2 linked regions of the Alligator mississippiensis genome follow. The protein of the gene in region 1 interacts with the protein of each later gene in a pairwise test. Links are inferred from orthologs where the notes say so. Each region holds a gene or a part of one and is shown in the gene's direction. Other genes may lie near its edges.

Evidence for each region.
Region 2: the proteins of RGS19 (region 1) and GNAI2 interact in a two-hybrid assay, tested with the Homo sapiens proteins (2 studies listed by BioGRID and IntAct). The link is inferred for Alligator mississippiensis from reciprocal best matches to the Homo sapiens genes RGS19 and GNAI2.

The regions. Positions count from the first base shown.
Region 1 is NC_081832.1:3,067,346-3,074,429, reverse strand, and holds the start of RGS19 (regulator of G-protein signaling 19), read left to right. Parts: upstream 1-4,084; 5' UTR 4,085-4,204; intron 4,205-7,084. UniProt on the Homo sapiens protein: Inhibits signal transduction by increasing the GTPase activity of G protein alpha subunits thereby driving them into their inactive GDP-bound form. Binds to G-alpha subfamily 1 members, with the order G(i)a3 > G(i)a1 > G(o)a >> G(z)a/G(i)a2.
Region 2 is NC_081835.1:43,290,981-43,298,086, reverse strand, and holds the start of GNAI2 (guanine nucleotide-binding protein G(i) subunit alpha-2), read left to right. Parts: upstream 1-4,106; 5' UTR 4,107-4,225; coding exon 4,226-4,343; intron 4,344-7,106. UniProt on the Homo sapiens protein: Guanine nucleotide-binding proteins (G proteins) are involved as modulators or transducers in various transmembrane signaling systems.

The DNA.
Region 1 (7,084 bases):
CATTTTTCTCCAGTTAAATGAAACTACACAGTTTACTGATATGCCGGGGGGCTAGTACTACATTATTCCCTTTATAAAGCAAAAAACAAATATAATGATTGGTATGTGCATTCATTTGCTAGTTTGAAGGTTTTTTGGTTTTTTTTAAATGCCACAAATTAGGCAAAAAATAGTCAAACTACCAGTTTCAAGAGATATTTCCTCATTAGTCCTGTAGTCATTATGGTTAGATGTACATCTCTTCTTCAGGTTCATAAAGCAAAATCTAGCCGTTTTGAGCATGTGGATAGTGCCTCCATAATTAACCGTCAGTCATTTCTACACCTGAGTGAATATGACCACCCCTGAGTTAAGGTTTTTAGCCAGAGCTAAAAACAATCCGCAGGGCTGTGAAATAAGAGAGACGTTACCAGGAATGGCCAACAGACAGCCAAATTGCAGAAGAAAGGCTAGTTGGCAAAATGAAACACCAAGACCATTAAAAAGGAGACGGGGTCATTCCCACCCGTGGAGTGGAGAGAGATTAGGAGGAATCAAGGAGGTGATAATGAGCCATGAAGTCAAGAAAGCCACATGATGCTAAATCCAAGTCATCCATGATGCCACACAATGACTCTCTCAGCGCTGTTCGATCAGGCTCTATCCGTGGCCCCAGACACCTCTGGGATCCCCACACAATAGCCCTGGTCATCAGTCAACTTTCCCCAGGCATTCCTGGAAAGCCACGGCCTTTCCCTAGCCAGGGGCTTGGATGGCATCAGGCCCTGCCCGCAAGAGGGTCGAAGCCAAACAACACCAGGAGCAACCTATGTCAAGAGCATAGCAAGGCTGATTTGGACTCTGGTTTAAGCATATTAGTGTTTACACCTTGGCAGCTGCTGGCTCCACTCAGGGACCCGGGAATTCAGTTCAATCCCGGTTGGTGCAGGTGATAACGCCGTTGTCAATTCCTGTTGTTGCGGCGGTCTCCAAAACGTGGCACGTGGGCAGAAACCATCCGGCGTTGCTAGAGGACATGGGGACATTTGCGTCCCACGATTGCATTCCACCAGGGCAACAAGGTCCTTTGGGTAAATCCGATCTCATTTATTAGATCAACTAACATTTTGGTTGGTCCGGTACAAGATATGGGATGTATTCACCCAAAGAACCTTGTCTGCCTATGTGCTTAGACCGGCACGGCTACAACCAATACCCATTTCACCAGGGAAGGCACAGCAGGGAAGCCCGCCATGCCCAGGACCATGCGTAGGGGCTAGGAACCATGGATGACCATGGGACAAGCAACCGCCCTCAAGGTTCAGCCTCTTACAAGAGGCCGAGAAAAGCAAGACTCTTCTAGTGGTGGAGTTGGGTGACACCTGCCGGATGCAGTCAATATTGCAAGCCAAGGCAATGCGACCAGGTGATGCCTTCTCCATCAGTAATTAATATGTGGTGGGGGATGGGATGGGAGGATGGATGGGTTTCAGTTACTGTGCAGTTCCTCATATCAACCCCTGTTCAGCCGGATGCACTGAGCAACTGGACAGCACAGCTATGGCCGAGTCCTGCTCTGCTCCAAATAAGCAGGGAACCTAAACCAGGACCGTGCCAATGGCATGCATTTAATAAAATGTAAATTCCCAGCAAACATTACCAATCGCGTGCGGGGATCTCCAAACTCCTTCATGCTTTTTAAGTGGAGAGAAAGATGGAGACTAAACAGGGAAGTTGGGAGATTTGGATAAAAGAGGGATGAAAGGGTTCGGGATTTGTTTTCAAGGTTTACCAAGGAGTCGTGCAAAATCAGTATTAAACTATGCTTAAGGTGGCCTGTTTCTAAACAGTCCAGTGATCACTGCAGAGATGCCACCGATCATTCCTGGAGTCGTGAAGCATGGCTCAAATGTAATAAAACCGTTTACAGGCAGCAAGATCGTCACGTCCCTCCTCGATTCTTTTCCAGAGCACCGGTGAGATTAAGTTTGGCTTTTCCCAGAAGTTACTACCAGCTGTCCAAATGGGCCAGGGCTTTTTATGGGGGGGTGGAGGGCGTGGGGAAAGGGCCTGGCAAAACATCAAAGCCAAATCAGATCAGGCCTCCTGGTTATTCAACGTGGCATTTGTAATTGCTACAAAGATGTGTCTCCTCCTGCAAACTATATAGATGTTTAAAGAAGGAGATAATAAGGACAAGCTGTCTGTGGCATGCAGGGGGCAGATTGAGCGGAGAGTTATTCATCCATAGTGCTACTTGGTGTGTCATCTGGAAGCAAATGCCCCGGCCTGCATCTTGCTCTTTCTTTTTTTGAAAGGAGATGGTTTAAAAAGAAATAAAACAACAACGGTCTGCAGTCTTTTTTAGCAATATTTGGAGCAATGCATCTGATTGGGGTTACCCGGAGCAGCAAAGCACAGCCCCCGGGGCTCTGGAGGAGATAACAGACATTTCCTGGAGATGTTGAAGGAGCCTCCAGACATTTCAGACCTTCCAGCTAAATTAAATCCTAAAGCAAATCCAGGGACTTGAGTCCTGATTGAATTGCGGTGGGGGGAAGGGACAAGACTGACATCTGCCTTGCTGAAACAGAGACGGCTTTACAGATTTGAGGGAAAGTTTATATGGCCGAGGCCTCATCTTTCACCTCTGCGAGTCAAGAGAGCCGCGCCATCCATTGTGGAACAGGGTCCTGCAGGAAGACACACTCTCGCGTGTGCCCAAAGGGGGAAGAAACACTCTCTAGCCTAGCTGGTGTGTGTGTCCAAAGTAAAACAGAGGGCGTGCGTGTGTTGGGCTCCACGGGGGCAACAGCTTGACACCTAAACCCTGGCAAATTGCTACGCCCGCAGGGTGGGTAGCCCGGATCTTCCTCCAGGACCTTAATACACCCAAACCCTGGACAATTTCTAAGCCCATGGGGTGGGTAGCCAGGCTTTTCCTCCAGGGCCTTAATACACCCAAACCCTGGAAAATTGTTAAGCCCATGGGGTGGGTAGCCTGGCTTTTCTTCCAGGACCTTCATACACCCAAACCCTGGAGAATTTCTAAGCCCATGCAGCAAGTAGACAGGCTTTTTAGGAGCCCAATACACACAAACCCTGGATGTTGTCTAAGCCCATGGAGTGGGTAGCCCAGCTCTTCCTCCAGGACTTTAACACACCCAAACCCTGGACAATTTCTAAGCCCATGGGGTGGGTAGCCAGGCTTTTCCTCCAGGGCCTTAATACACCCAAACCCTGGAAAATTGTTAAGCCCATGGGGTGGGTAGCCTGGCTTTTCTTCCAGGACCTTCATACACCCAAACCCTGGAGAATTTCTAAGCCCATGCAGCAAGTAGACAGGCTTTTTAGGAGCCCAATACACACAAACCCTGGATGTTGTCTAAGCCCATGGAGTGGGTAGCCCAGCTCTTCCTCCAGGACTTTAACACACCCAAACCCTGGACAATTTCTAAGCCCATGGGGTGGGTAGCCAGGCTTTTCCTCCAGGACCTTCATACACCCAAACCCTGGAAAATTGCTAAGCCCATGCAGCAAGTAGCCAGGCTTTTTAGGAGCCCAATACACACAAACCCTGGACGTTGTCTAAGCCCATGGAGTGGGTAGCCCAGCTCTTCCTCCAGGACTTTAACACACCCAAACCCTGGAGAATTTCTAAGCCCATGGGGTGGGTAGCCCGGCTTTTCCTCCAGGACCTTCATACACCCAAACCCTGGAGAAGTGCTAAGCCCATGCAGCAAGTAGCCAGGCATTTTAGGAGCCAATACACCCAAACCCTGGAGAATTTCTAAGCCCATGGGGTGGGTAGCCCGGCTTTTCCTCCGGAACCTTGATACACCCAAACCCTGGAGAAGTGCTGAGCGCATGCAGCAAGCAGCCAGGCTTTTTAGGAGCCCGATCCACCCAAGCCCTGGACACAGTGTAGAGCCGTGGGGCGGGGTGGGGAGCCGGGCTGTGCCGCTCGCGGTGCGGGGTGCGCGGCGCGGTGCAGGGCGCGGTGCAGGGCGCGGTGCGGTGGGAGCGCGGGGCTGTCGGAGCGCGGCGGCCGCCGCAGCGGCTCGGGGCAGGGAGGCGCAGGGGCCGGGGGACGCGTGCGCAGCGCCGCCCCTGCTCGCTCGCTCTCCCTCCCGGGGTGCCGGAGCCGGAGCCGGAGCCGGAGCGGAGCCGGCGGAGCCTGGGGCCCGGAGCCCGCCGCGGGGGTCGCAACTCGGATGCACGGATCGTGAGTGGCGAGCAGGCGGCAGCCGGCCGGGGGGGTCCCCTTGCAGCCGGGCATCCCCCGGGGAGGATGCCCCGGGCTGCGGGCGAGCCCCGTTGGCGGGGGCAGGCAGCGGAGCACCGGGGAGAGAGCGGAGCCCCCCCCAAGCCCGGGGGCACTGGGTGGCAAGGGGTGCATGGGGGGCTGCATGGCACGGGGGTGCCCGGGCGCAGCAGGCGGGGTCCGGGGCATCCTTGCCGGCGGGCGCGGGGGTGCCAGCTCCGGCAGCGCCGCGCTCAGGGGGCCCGGACTGGCCTTTTGTCTCGACCGTGGCGTGCCAGGACTCCTGGGGTCCCCGCCTGGCGTGCCCACCCCGCTGGGAGCTGGCCCGTCCCGGAGCATCCCCTGGGGATGCACCTGGGGGGGACGCCGAGGCTCCCTGAGGAAGCTCCCCAGGCTTGGCACGGCGCCACGGCCTGATTTCAGACGCCAGACAAAACGCGTCGGGCGAGTGGGAGGGATTCCCCGGCTCCTCCGGAGCCCCGTCCCCATCCCGGTGACCCTCGCCCCGTCCGACAGCCGCGGGGCCAGGCGGCTTGGCCTGGCTTCGGGGAGCGCACGGGAGGGCTCCCCCAGCTTGCGCTACCGGGGTCGCTCCCCGCCGTCACCCTCCAGGAAATAACTCCGCGCCAATGCAGAATAAAAGGCGTCGTGGGTGGGGGTCCCGTGTTGCTGGAGCCCGGGGCACGGCCTGCGGATGTCGGGAAGCAGAGGCGAGGGGGTAGGCCACGTCCCTGTCGCCCCCGAGTGCCGGGCGACACGTGCCTGTCCGTCCCCGCGTGGCATCTCACGACGCCTCCGCTCTCGCGTGGGACGGTGAGCTGCGGTACCTCGCGTCTGTCTCGGGCACGCTTATCCGGCAGGACTGGGCGGAGAACCGGAGGTTGCTGAGACCCGCGGCGTTCGGTGGCAAAACAGCCTCTTTAAAAACCACCTTCGAGAGGGAGGGTTTTGAAACAACAGCCGGTGTCTCCTAGAAGAGAGCGAGGTTTCTGGCAGGTTTCGGAGCTGACTTGGGTGCGTGCACCCACCCCAATCCCAGCCTCCCCTCTCCCGGGGGAGAGAGCAAGCTCCACGCCAACCTGCCATGGCCCTTTCGAGCCTTCTCGTGGTGCAGGTTGGCTGTCAAGAAGGTAAAATCCTCAAAGCTCAGGCCACAAGCATTTGCTGAGGGGTCACAAGCTATTCCTTTCCCTTCCTGCTTGGGGTTTTTTTTGTCCTCGCAGGCTCTTGTGACACAGAATCAATACGTACAACCACGAGCATCTCAAAAACCCCAGCAGCGTGTGGTGTTTGTTAACTTATTGGCAGAGGGGTTGATTCTGTACGAAGGCCCAAAATAAAACATAAGAGACGGTCCCCGAGTTTTCTTCTGGTCACCATTGCTACCTGTTTCTGCCGGGGTCCGGCATCACTCACCCCTTGCTGGATCCCTGCACGGTCCAGGGGGAACCCCTGCCCCACAATATTCATTAGCATTTCCCTTCACTTGCTTATTGGCTTTTGCCTATTCATTTGCAACTTTCAAGAGGCTTTGAGGCAACATTTTTAAAGCCAGTTATTGAAATGCTTTGTGTGAATAACTGCCTTTTCAGTTTAAAAAGCATACTGGGTAGTATCCGGGGGCCGGGGGGAGGGTGGCTAGGAAGGAAAAGAGCTCATCTCATGATGCAACAGACAGTGGCTCAAGACAGGGGCGAGGAGGAGGTGGTAACATTGGGTGAAAATTGCCTAAATGTTCCGGGGTGTGGGAAGCGGGTGAGGTTAAACCCAGAAGCCAGCTCTGAGCAGACTGAACTTATAGGGATCTTTGCAATCTCACTACAGCTGTCAGAGGCCTGTTCCCAGGAGACCTGAGGCCTGACATATCTTGAACCAACTCAGCCACCTCCCACCTTAGCATGAGCTGAAAAAAAGATCCAGTTTGGAGGCGCGCGTTATTGCTCAGTGCATTTTTCGGATAAAACATTAGTGCGTGGTATTGCTCAGTGCGCGTTATTGCTCAGTGCACGTTTCGGATAAAAATTAGTGCGTGGTATTGCTCAGTGCGCGTTATTGCTCAGTGCACGTTTCGGATAAAAATTAGTGCGTGGTATTGCTCAGTGCGCGTTATTGCTCAGTGCACATTTCGGATAACCATTAGTGCGTGCTATTGCTCAGTGTGCGTTATTGCTCAGTGCACTTCCGGGTTGGAGGTACACGTTAGGATAAAAAATGATGCACCCGTAATAGCTCTGAGTCTTGTCTAAGCCTTCTCCTCTGGGTTACCTGTTGGGTGATTATCGGTCTGTCACTCGGGTGGTTTTCCTAGGGGTGAAGCACTCTCCAGCAGGGTTTTGTCTGTGCCTGGCACTTCACTCCAAAGGGGTGACAGCTTGTTTTAGCATCAGGTCTTCTGCCAGTCCGTGTCAGGCCATCACGCTGGCCCTGTGAGTTTGTGCGTGTGTGTTAGCTCCATGCACGCACTAGGACCCTTGAAACCCGGGCTGGCTGCCTCGAACCCAGATTTCCTAGAGACGCCAGCCTGCCTGCCACAGTTAGCACTGCTAACTGCTCTTCTCCAAGAAGTCTTGCAAGCTGATTACTGCCACCGTGTCTGGAGAGCAGCCTGAGTTGTAGGAAGGAGATCCCAAGGCTGTAGCGGCCTGGACCAGGCCCCTGTCACTGGGCTCTTTGATTCATAGATGTTGTTAGATGTTAGGGTCCGAAGGGACCTGAATAGACCATCAAGTCCACCCCCCAGCTTTGGGACACATCCAGCTAGGTTCCTCCAGAAACACATCTTCCTCCAGTTCAAATCATCGTCCTGCAGGCTCTGCTTCGCAGGAAGCCTGCACTTTGGAG
Region 2 (7,106 bases), on another chromosome or scaffold:
ACTCTTCTGGGGGGAAATGAGCACCAGGAATCACCTCAGCTTTCTGGCCTTATTTCTGGGACACGGAGAGTAAAATAGCAAAGTCACCAGCCAGACTCCCTCTTCCAGAGCTTAGCACATCCACCTGAACAAACAAGCTGAACACCCTTCACAAATCACCATCAACAGGGCAGGTCTAGGTGTATAGCTCTCTGGCCTGCTCCCTGTTCCTTCTGCTAAAATGAAAGTCCCTGCTGTTCTGCTAGCTAGTGACCAAATTGACTTTGGCTTTCCACCACTAGAGGGTGGAAAGGTACTAAGCACATACCAGTGAAGTGAGGCTGATCTCATGAAACCAACTAGGAGCAGAGGGAAAGGAAGCCTCACTCATTTCTTGGCCTACCTGTGATCACCAAGAAGGGACTTTCAGATGGGCCTCTGGTCAGATGCCTGGGGTTTGCTCCTGAGATGCACCTCTTAGGAACCAATGGGAACGGGGAACCAAGGTGGCTTTATCTTTGTACTGTCCGGATTCTGGGCTGGCTAGAGATCACAACAGTCTGAGCATATATTAACAGTGACCCTAGGAGGTTTAGAGCAGCAACCTACAGGTGTCCCATAGCCCAGTCTCCAGGGTGGCATGTAATATGGAGACTCCTTACCCCAGGGCTTGCAAGTGCAGGGGGGCAGCACGGGGACTAGAATTTGCTTTCCCTATGATCATGCTTGTGTGTGCGCGCGTGTGTGTTCATTTGCATTCCCTGTATACTCTAGCACATGAATTTCTTGGCAGGAAGGATGATGCAAACAGTGAATTTTCAATGACTGTGGCAGGTTATTTGCAAATTCTACGAGAACTACTCATCCAGTTTGGGAATAGAAACAATATCACATGAGTTATGTTATGTGTCCCATCCAAATCAACCAGTGCAGCTTGAAATATTGAATTCTTATAATAAACTGATAATATAGGCAAATAATTGCTTACAAGACTTGGCTACTGAACAATTTTAAACAATAAAAAAAAGTTGGAAGTATACTGTCTGTGAGTATCCTAGTTTCTAACAGAAGACTGGGCAAAAAAATAATTGGCTTCTCTTGGCAAGCAGTGACAAGCATGGGTTCTCAGACTGGGATCACAGACAGGGTAAAAAGAGTTAAAACCACCTTACTCTATAGTATACAGGCAACCCTCGCCATTTGTAGGGGATATGTTCTCTCATCCCCCGCTAATGGCGAAATCTGCGAATAAGGCACTGTGTTCATGAACGCAGTGTTCCCGGTGGCGATGGGGGGGCACAGCAGTGGCGGCAGGAGCCCAGCGGCAGCAAGCGCAGAGTACCTGAGGAGCTCCAGTAAGTGTATAAAGTGTATTTAAATGTGGGTTCAGCACTTGTGAATATTAGAAACCGTGAATGCCGAACCCACGAATAGCAAGGGTTTCCTGTATAGCTAAATGGGAAAGATGCTTCTCAAAGGTAGAGCAGTTGGGGGTCCCAGGCTAGAAAAGGGAGTCCCACTATTGACTGGCTGCTGATATGCTGAGATGACTACCTGTCATTGTCACTTTGTACTCTCCAACTGCAGGCTTATAGTCATTTTTTGTCTTGGACTTAGATTGTAAGCTCTTTGGGGAAAAGTTTTATATTCTGTGTGTTTTACGGTGCCTGACAGTGGGAACATGGTCCATGAAAGATTCTTATGTGGTATGGTAATAACAACAACAGTAATAATAATGATGATGATGATGATGATGATAATAATAAATGAATTGTTTGTTCTGCCCAGCAATCAAAACTGTAGGGGCACTGGTGTGGGAAATCTGAAACTGAGACTGTTAACAAATAAACAAAGCATGTATGAAAATTCTCTCTTGGGCCTCAATTTGATGGACCCTTGACAACACTTTTCTTTTGAGCCTTACTTTCTGTGTTTGGGGTTCACTATACATATATGACACTGACATTTCATACAGAAAAATTATGCTTCTATGATGAGCAGAAGCAAATGAATCTTAGAAGGAAAATCTAACTGGTCTGGATTTCTTGTTGACTTGCAGTTTAGCCCAAATGCCTTCTAGGGGCTGGTGTAATCAGTATGTTGTAATATTTTAAAGGTATCAAGTATTTTCCTTCACCAAAAAAATTTCATTGATTGGCTAGTATGGTGGGCTCAGTTTTGATAGCATGTCTGATGACTGCATCTGAGATGTGCTCAGACTGGCCAGACAAGACATTGATTTTCTTTCTTAAATTTAGTCTATATTAGAAAGTTGCATCTCTAGCAACATTGGTACAATTAAAATGATACAATCCCTTCAAGTATGGACACTGGTGAACTGGTATAAAAGTGATGGAACATACCTTCCTATGTATATGTATAACAAGATAATGTTTGGTTCCAGGGACCCAGTGTAGTTCAGCTATCAGATCCACCTGCAAAGGAGCTATATGTTCATGTGTGGGGTGAGGGGATTCACGTAATGACTTTAAAGGACTATAGTACTGTTAGCATGATGGTCCAGGAATTATGCAAGAGAAAAGGATTTTTGGGGGATAATATCTTTTATTGGATTAACCACATAGCCGGGATAAAATTAAACAAACTTAAGAAAGCAAAGCATTCAAAAGCTTCTCTAGCTTTATCTCAACTATACGGTTAGTCTAATAAAAGAGATCACCCCCCAAAATCCTTGCCTTTCATTTAAAAGGCTACATAATGGGAGCTGGGCTCTTGCAGTTAAAGCAATGCCAGACCTCTAGAAACTGCAGCTATAGTGAGCAGGGGAATGGTTTGTCATCTTTAAATTTTACATTGGAAAATAAGATTGCTTGGAAAGAATTCCTGGGCATGGTAGTGAGTCTGTTCAGGGCTGGGAAAACGGAGAGGCTGTACAGATGTGGAGAATATGGCTATGTAGTTGGCCTCTGGAATGGAGGGGAAATGGAGACAACAGATAGCCTGGAGCCAGGCTGGGTAGCCTCTGCGGCTAGGGGAGGAAGGAGCAGGAGGAGGCTATAGAAGAATGGGGTGGGGGGTATTAAGCACCTTTTATAAGAACAAACCTCTGTCAATACTAGGGCCTGTACTGTTATAGCTATTTCAGGAAAAGCTAACCCCTATATGAAATAGCTACATTAACACAAAGCTTTGTATAAAGCAGATCTAAGGTTCTTCTGTCATGCTTGCTGCCAGATCTAGCTGTACGTTGCCATTGAATGGATAGGTCTAGTGTCTGAAATAGGCAGAACTTGGATTCTGGTTATGCGCTGATGTTTGAAAAGTGACTGCCCATTCACAGGTTTCCAAATCCTGCTTGTTGTAACCCAGCCATGGCATCAGTGGAGATGCTAGAACCGTTCTAATCATTGGCTTCTGCATGTGCTTATGTTGCTTCCCTATTTAAGGCATTATCTAGGGTCTACGCCAAGTGAACAGAGCTGCATCTTTGGTTTGCATCAGGAATACAGCACCTGCACCTTTTTAATAGGTAAGAAGTGTGAAGGGTGTCGCTGACAGGGCATGTGATCTGCCCTGATGAATGTCTTGATTGACTAGATCCTGGCAGCCAACCTGTGGCATGTGCCACAAGTGTCATGGGCAGCCTACGTGTGTGACACGCGGTAGAGCAGGGAGCAGAGCAGCAGCTGGCACAGGGAGTGGGAGGACAGGGGAGGGAGTGGATGTGACACTCGCGGAGGGCACCGGGCTGACCTTGTGGCACAGCTGCCAAAGACTGATGTTTGGGGCCAACCTTGCTGGCAGGCGACCTGGGCCCCACACGCTGTGCGAGTGCTCGGCCCCCGCCCGACCCCCTGCTTTGCTTTCTGCTCCCTGCCCCCGCCGCGCACCACGGCCCAGGCCGCCTCGTGGGTCTGGGCCCAGGGAGCCGGCGCTTCCCCGCCGCTCGGGGGAGCCCCGTCGGGCTGCTGCGACCCCGGCCCCAGCTGCCCCCTGTCCTCGGGGCACGGCTGCGGGCGGGCCTACCCCCGGCTCGGCACGCGGGACGGGTGGCGGGAGCGCGGCGGCGGCGGGGGGCGGCTCCGGGCCTGGGGCCGCCCACGGGCGGGGCCCGGCGCTGACTCAGGAGTTTCGGGCGCCGCCCGCCCCGCCCCGCCCGCCCGGCAGCGAGCGGCTCAGACCCCGCCGGCAGCCGGAGGCTCGGGCTGCGCCGCGCCGCTGACCGCCCCCGCTGCCGCACGCCCGGGCCGGGGCCCAGCCCAGCCCAGCCCAGCCTTGCGGCGCCATGGGCTGCACCGTGAGCGCCGAGGACAAAGCGGCCGCCGAGCGGTCCAAGATGATCGACAAGAACCTGCGGGAGGACGGCGAGAAGGCGGCCCGCGAGGTCAAGCTGCTGCTGCTCGGTGAGGCCCCGGCCCCGGCCCCGGCCCGCGCCCTCCTTGCCTCCATCCGGCGCGGCCTCCCCCGGCCCTGCCTGTGCCCCGCGCCCCAGCTCCTCTGCGCCCCGCCCCGGCCCGCGCCGCGCACGCCCCCCGGCCGCATCCCAGGCGGTGCCCCGAGCCTGGCTGCTGGATAAACCCTCCCCTGAGCGCTTCCTCCATGGGCACCCCGAGCTTGACACCCACTGCTGCAGCTCAGCTGCGCTGAGGCTGCCGTGGGCATCCCAAATCCAGGCACCTAATAAGCACCCCCTGATGCCCCAGGCTTGGGGACCTGCATCCCTTCAACCTCACAGATAAACTTCTAGCCCCACCCCTCCCCTTTCTTAGATGCACCCACATGGCTTGCAGTCTCCAGTGAACTCCCATAGCTGGCCAGTGACAGCCCCCAGCTGGGTAAGATGAAGCCTTTAGCTGTACCTGTTCACTTCTCCCTAAGTACAGCTTGCAGTTCCCATAGATTGCCCCAATAACATACTTGTCCTTCACAACCTGTAGATACGCGCCACTCAGTGTGCTCCTGAGACTCTGGTTCATACACCCCCATGGTGTCCATTAGGTCCTTCTTTACCCCACTTTCAGGCCAGACAGAGCCTCCAAAACAACTCCTCCCATTGTGTTCCTCAAGTAAAGAACTTGCTCCTCCTAGGTACCTCCTCTCTCTTGGTTGCACTGGTGTCCCTCTGCACCCAGCTGCCTGTCCCTCTAGCAAGCCTCCATTCCACCTCAGCATACCGTATCCACATCCTGAAATACCACCCTGTGTGTCCACATATCCCCCTAGCCATCCAGACACACCACACTCTCTTTTTCTCCCCACTTCCAAAAACGTTGTTCATCTGTCCATATTCATCTTCCAGTGACCCTGGTCAAATATACTCTTGTCTGTCTGTTATGCTTTTCCCCTGCTCTTCAACTGCATTCCCATCACTGTTTTCCCCAACGCCCCCTTGTATGAACAGTCCTGGAGAGAGCTTTGTGAGTGCCTGGTTCCCAGCTGTGCCACTTGTGCTGATGTGGGTGATGAGCTGTTGATGTTGAGGGCAGGGAACACCCTGTTAGGCAGAGCGGGAGGTGCCTGCTGCTGAGGGTGATGGTGACAAGGTTGTGGGGGGGGAATTGGAAGCCCTCATTCCACCTCTGACTTCTGTGATGACTGCATAGTGCAGCCAGCTGTGAGTTGGGGTCCTCCCCTGGGCAATGCAGCCCAGGGAGGCAAAACTATATTTGTTTCTTAGTCCTGCCTTTCTGAAACTCTGCTCAGTCAGACTGGGCACACAATTCTCTCTTTACCAGGAGGTATAAAGAGGGCCAGGGTAGGTAGGTTTCTCTCTTTAATCTTAGGTTAGTGGGAACTAGGGCTCCTGCAGCTGTGGTCAGCACTGTCTCTCAAGAAACCTGCTTCTCTTGCCCCTCCTTTCTCTTATCCTACCCTGCCCCCTTTCCTTCCCTCCCTCTCTCCAAACTAGAAAAGTAAACTGGCTGAAAACGAATCCTCCTGCTTTCTTAGTCCTTTCTCCCTTGTGAAGGAGGAAGCCCACAGGGAGGGGTCATCAGTTGATTTTCATTGATTGCTAAAATAACGGTCCAATGGAGGGAAATACTTTTTGCAAGGGAGAAAATGCCTCAACTTTGGCACCTTTTGGATAACTTTGAAGGGTGTATTGCTGCATGGAAAATGTATCCTGACAAGCAAAGTGAATTCAGTACTCCTTGATATTGGCTGCAGTTTGCTGCAGAGCAAATGTTGCTATGTTTACTGCTCCTAAAATATTTTTTCAGCTTGTTCTCTCCCTTTTTTTAGTTGGCAGCAAACTTTCAATCCAGCCTGAAGACTTTTCAGATTTAGGATGGTCTGATGTTAATAAGGATAATACTTAGCACTTGCATAAGGCTTGCTGTCTTCAAAGCACTTTACAGATACTAATCCCAGCTATCTCACAGCTCTCTGTTCTTTGCCTTTGGGGAAGTAAGCACATTTTAAAAAGAATTCCTAATTGGGTTTCATTTTGCTTCTGAAATGCCCAAGGAGAGCAATTCCTGATTCAGTTTTTTAAACCTGACCTAGGATTAGATAATGTTCACATAGTGAAAGAAAAACTTACTTGAAGTGGAAAGCTGAAATATTATGGGGTGAAGGGCAAAGAGGATATAAAAAGTAGTGTGACAAGAGAAAATCATTGCTGGTTTAAGCAATGCAAATAGAAAATGTTTGATGTTGATTTTTAAATAGAGGAAATGGAGTGGCAGGAAACAATGGTGAAATTGAGCAGCCATGTATTTGCATCTGAATAAATAATATCGCCTATTTTAAAATGTGCCTTATGGACAAAGCCATAATTTCTTGATTTTTTTTTTTTTTTTTTTTTTGGTACATTGTTGGCACACAACGAATATTAACATTCTTTTAAGGGAAAATCCCTGGGTATATTTGTTAGTAGGCCAGACAAATTGATTTTTTTTTTAAAGGTATTTCACTATGCAAAAATAGATCCAACTCTCCATGGTTTTGGGATGTGCTGGTATGGTCAGGGCTGACAAGGCGGCTAAGGCGGCTAGGTCATGATCTCATATCGAGGTCAGTGGCTGTGGGGTAGAAAGATGGCTCCCTGACTTAAAGGGCTTTTCAGTCATTGGGATCTGTTTGCAGAATGGGGTGGGGGCTTAGTTGGGGAAAGGTCTAAAAGCCCAGTTTATGGAAGCATGTATATGGGTAACCTCACTTGT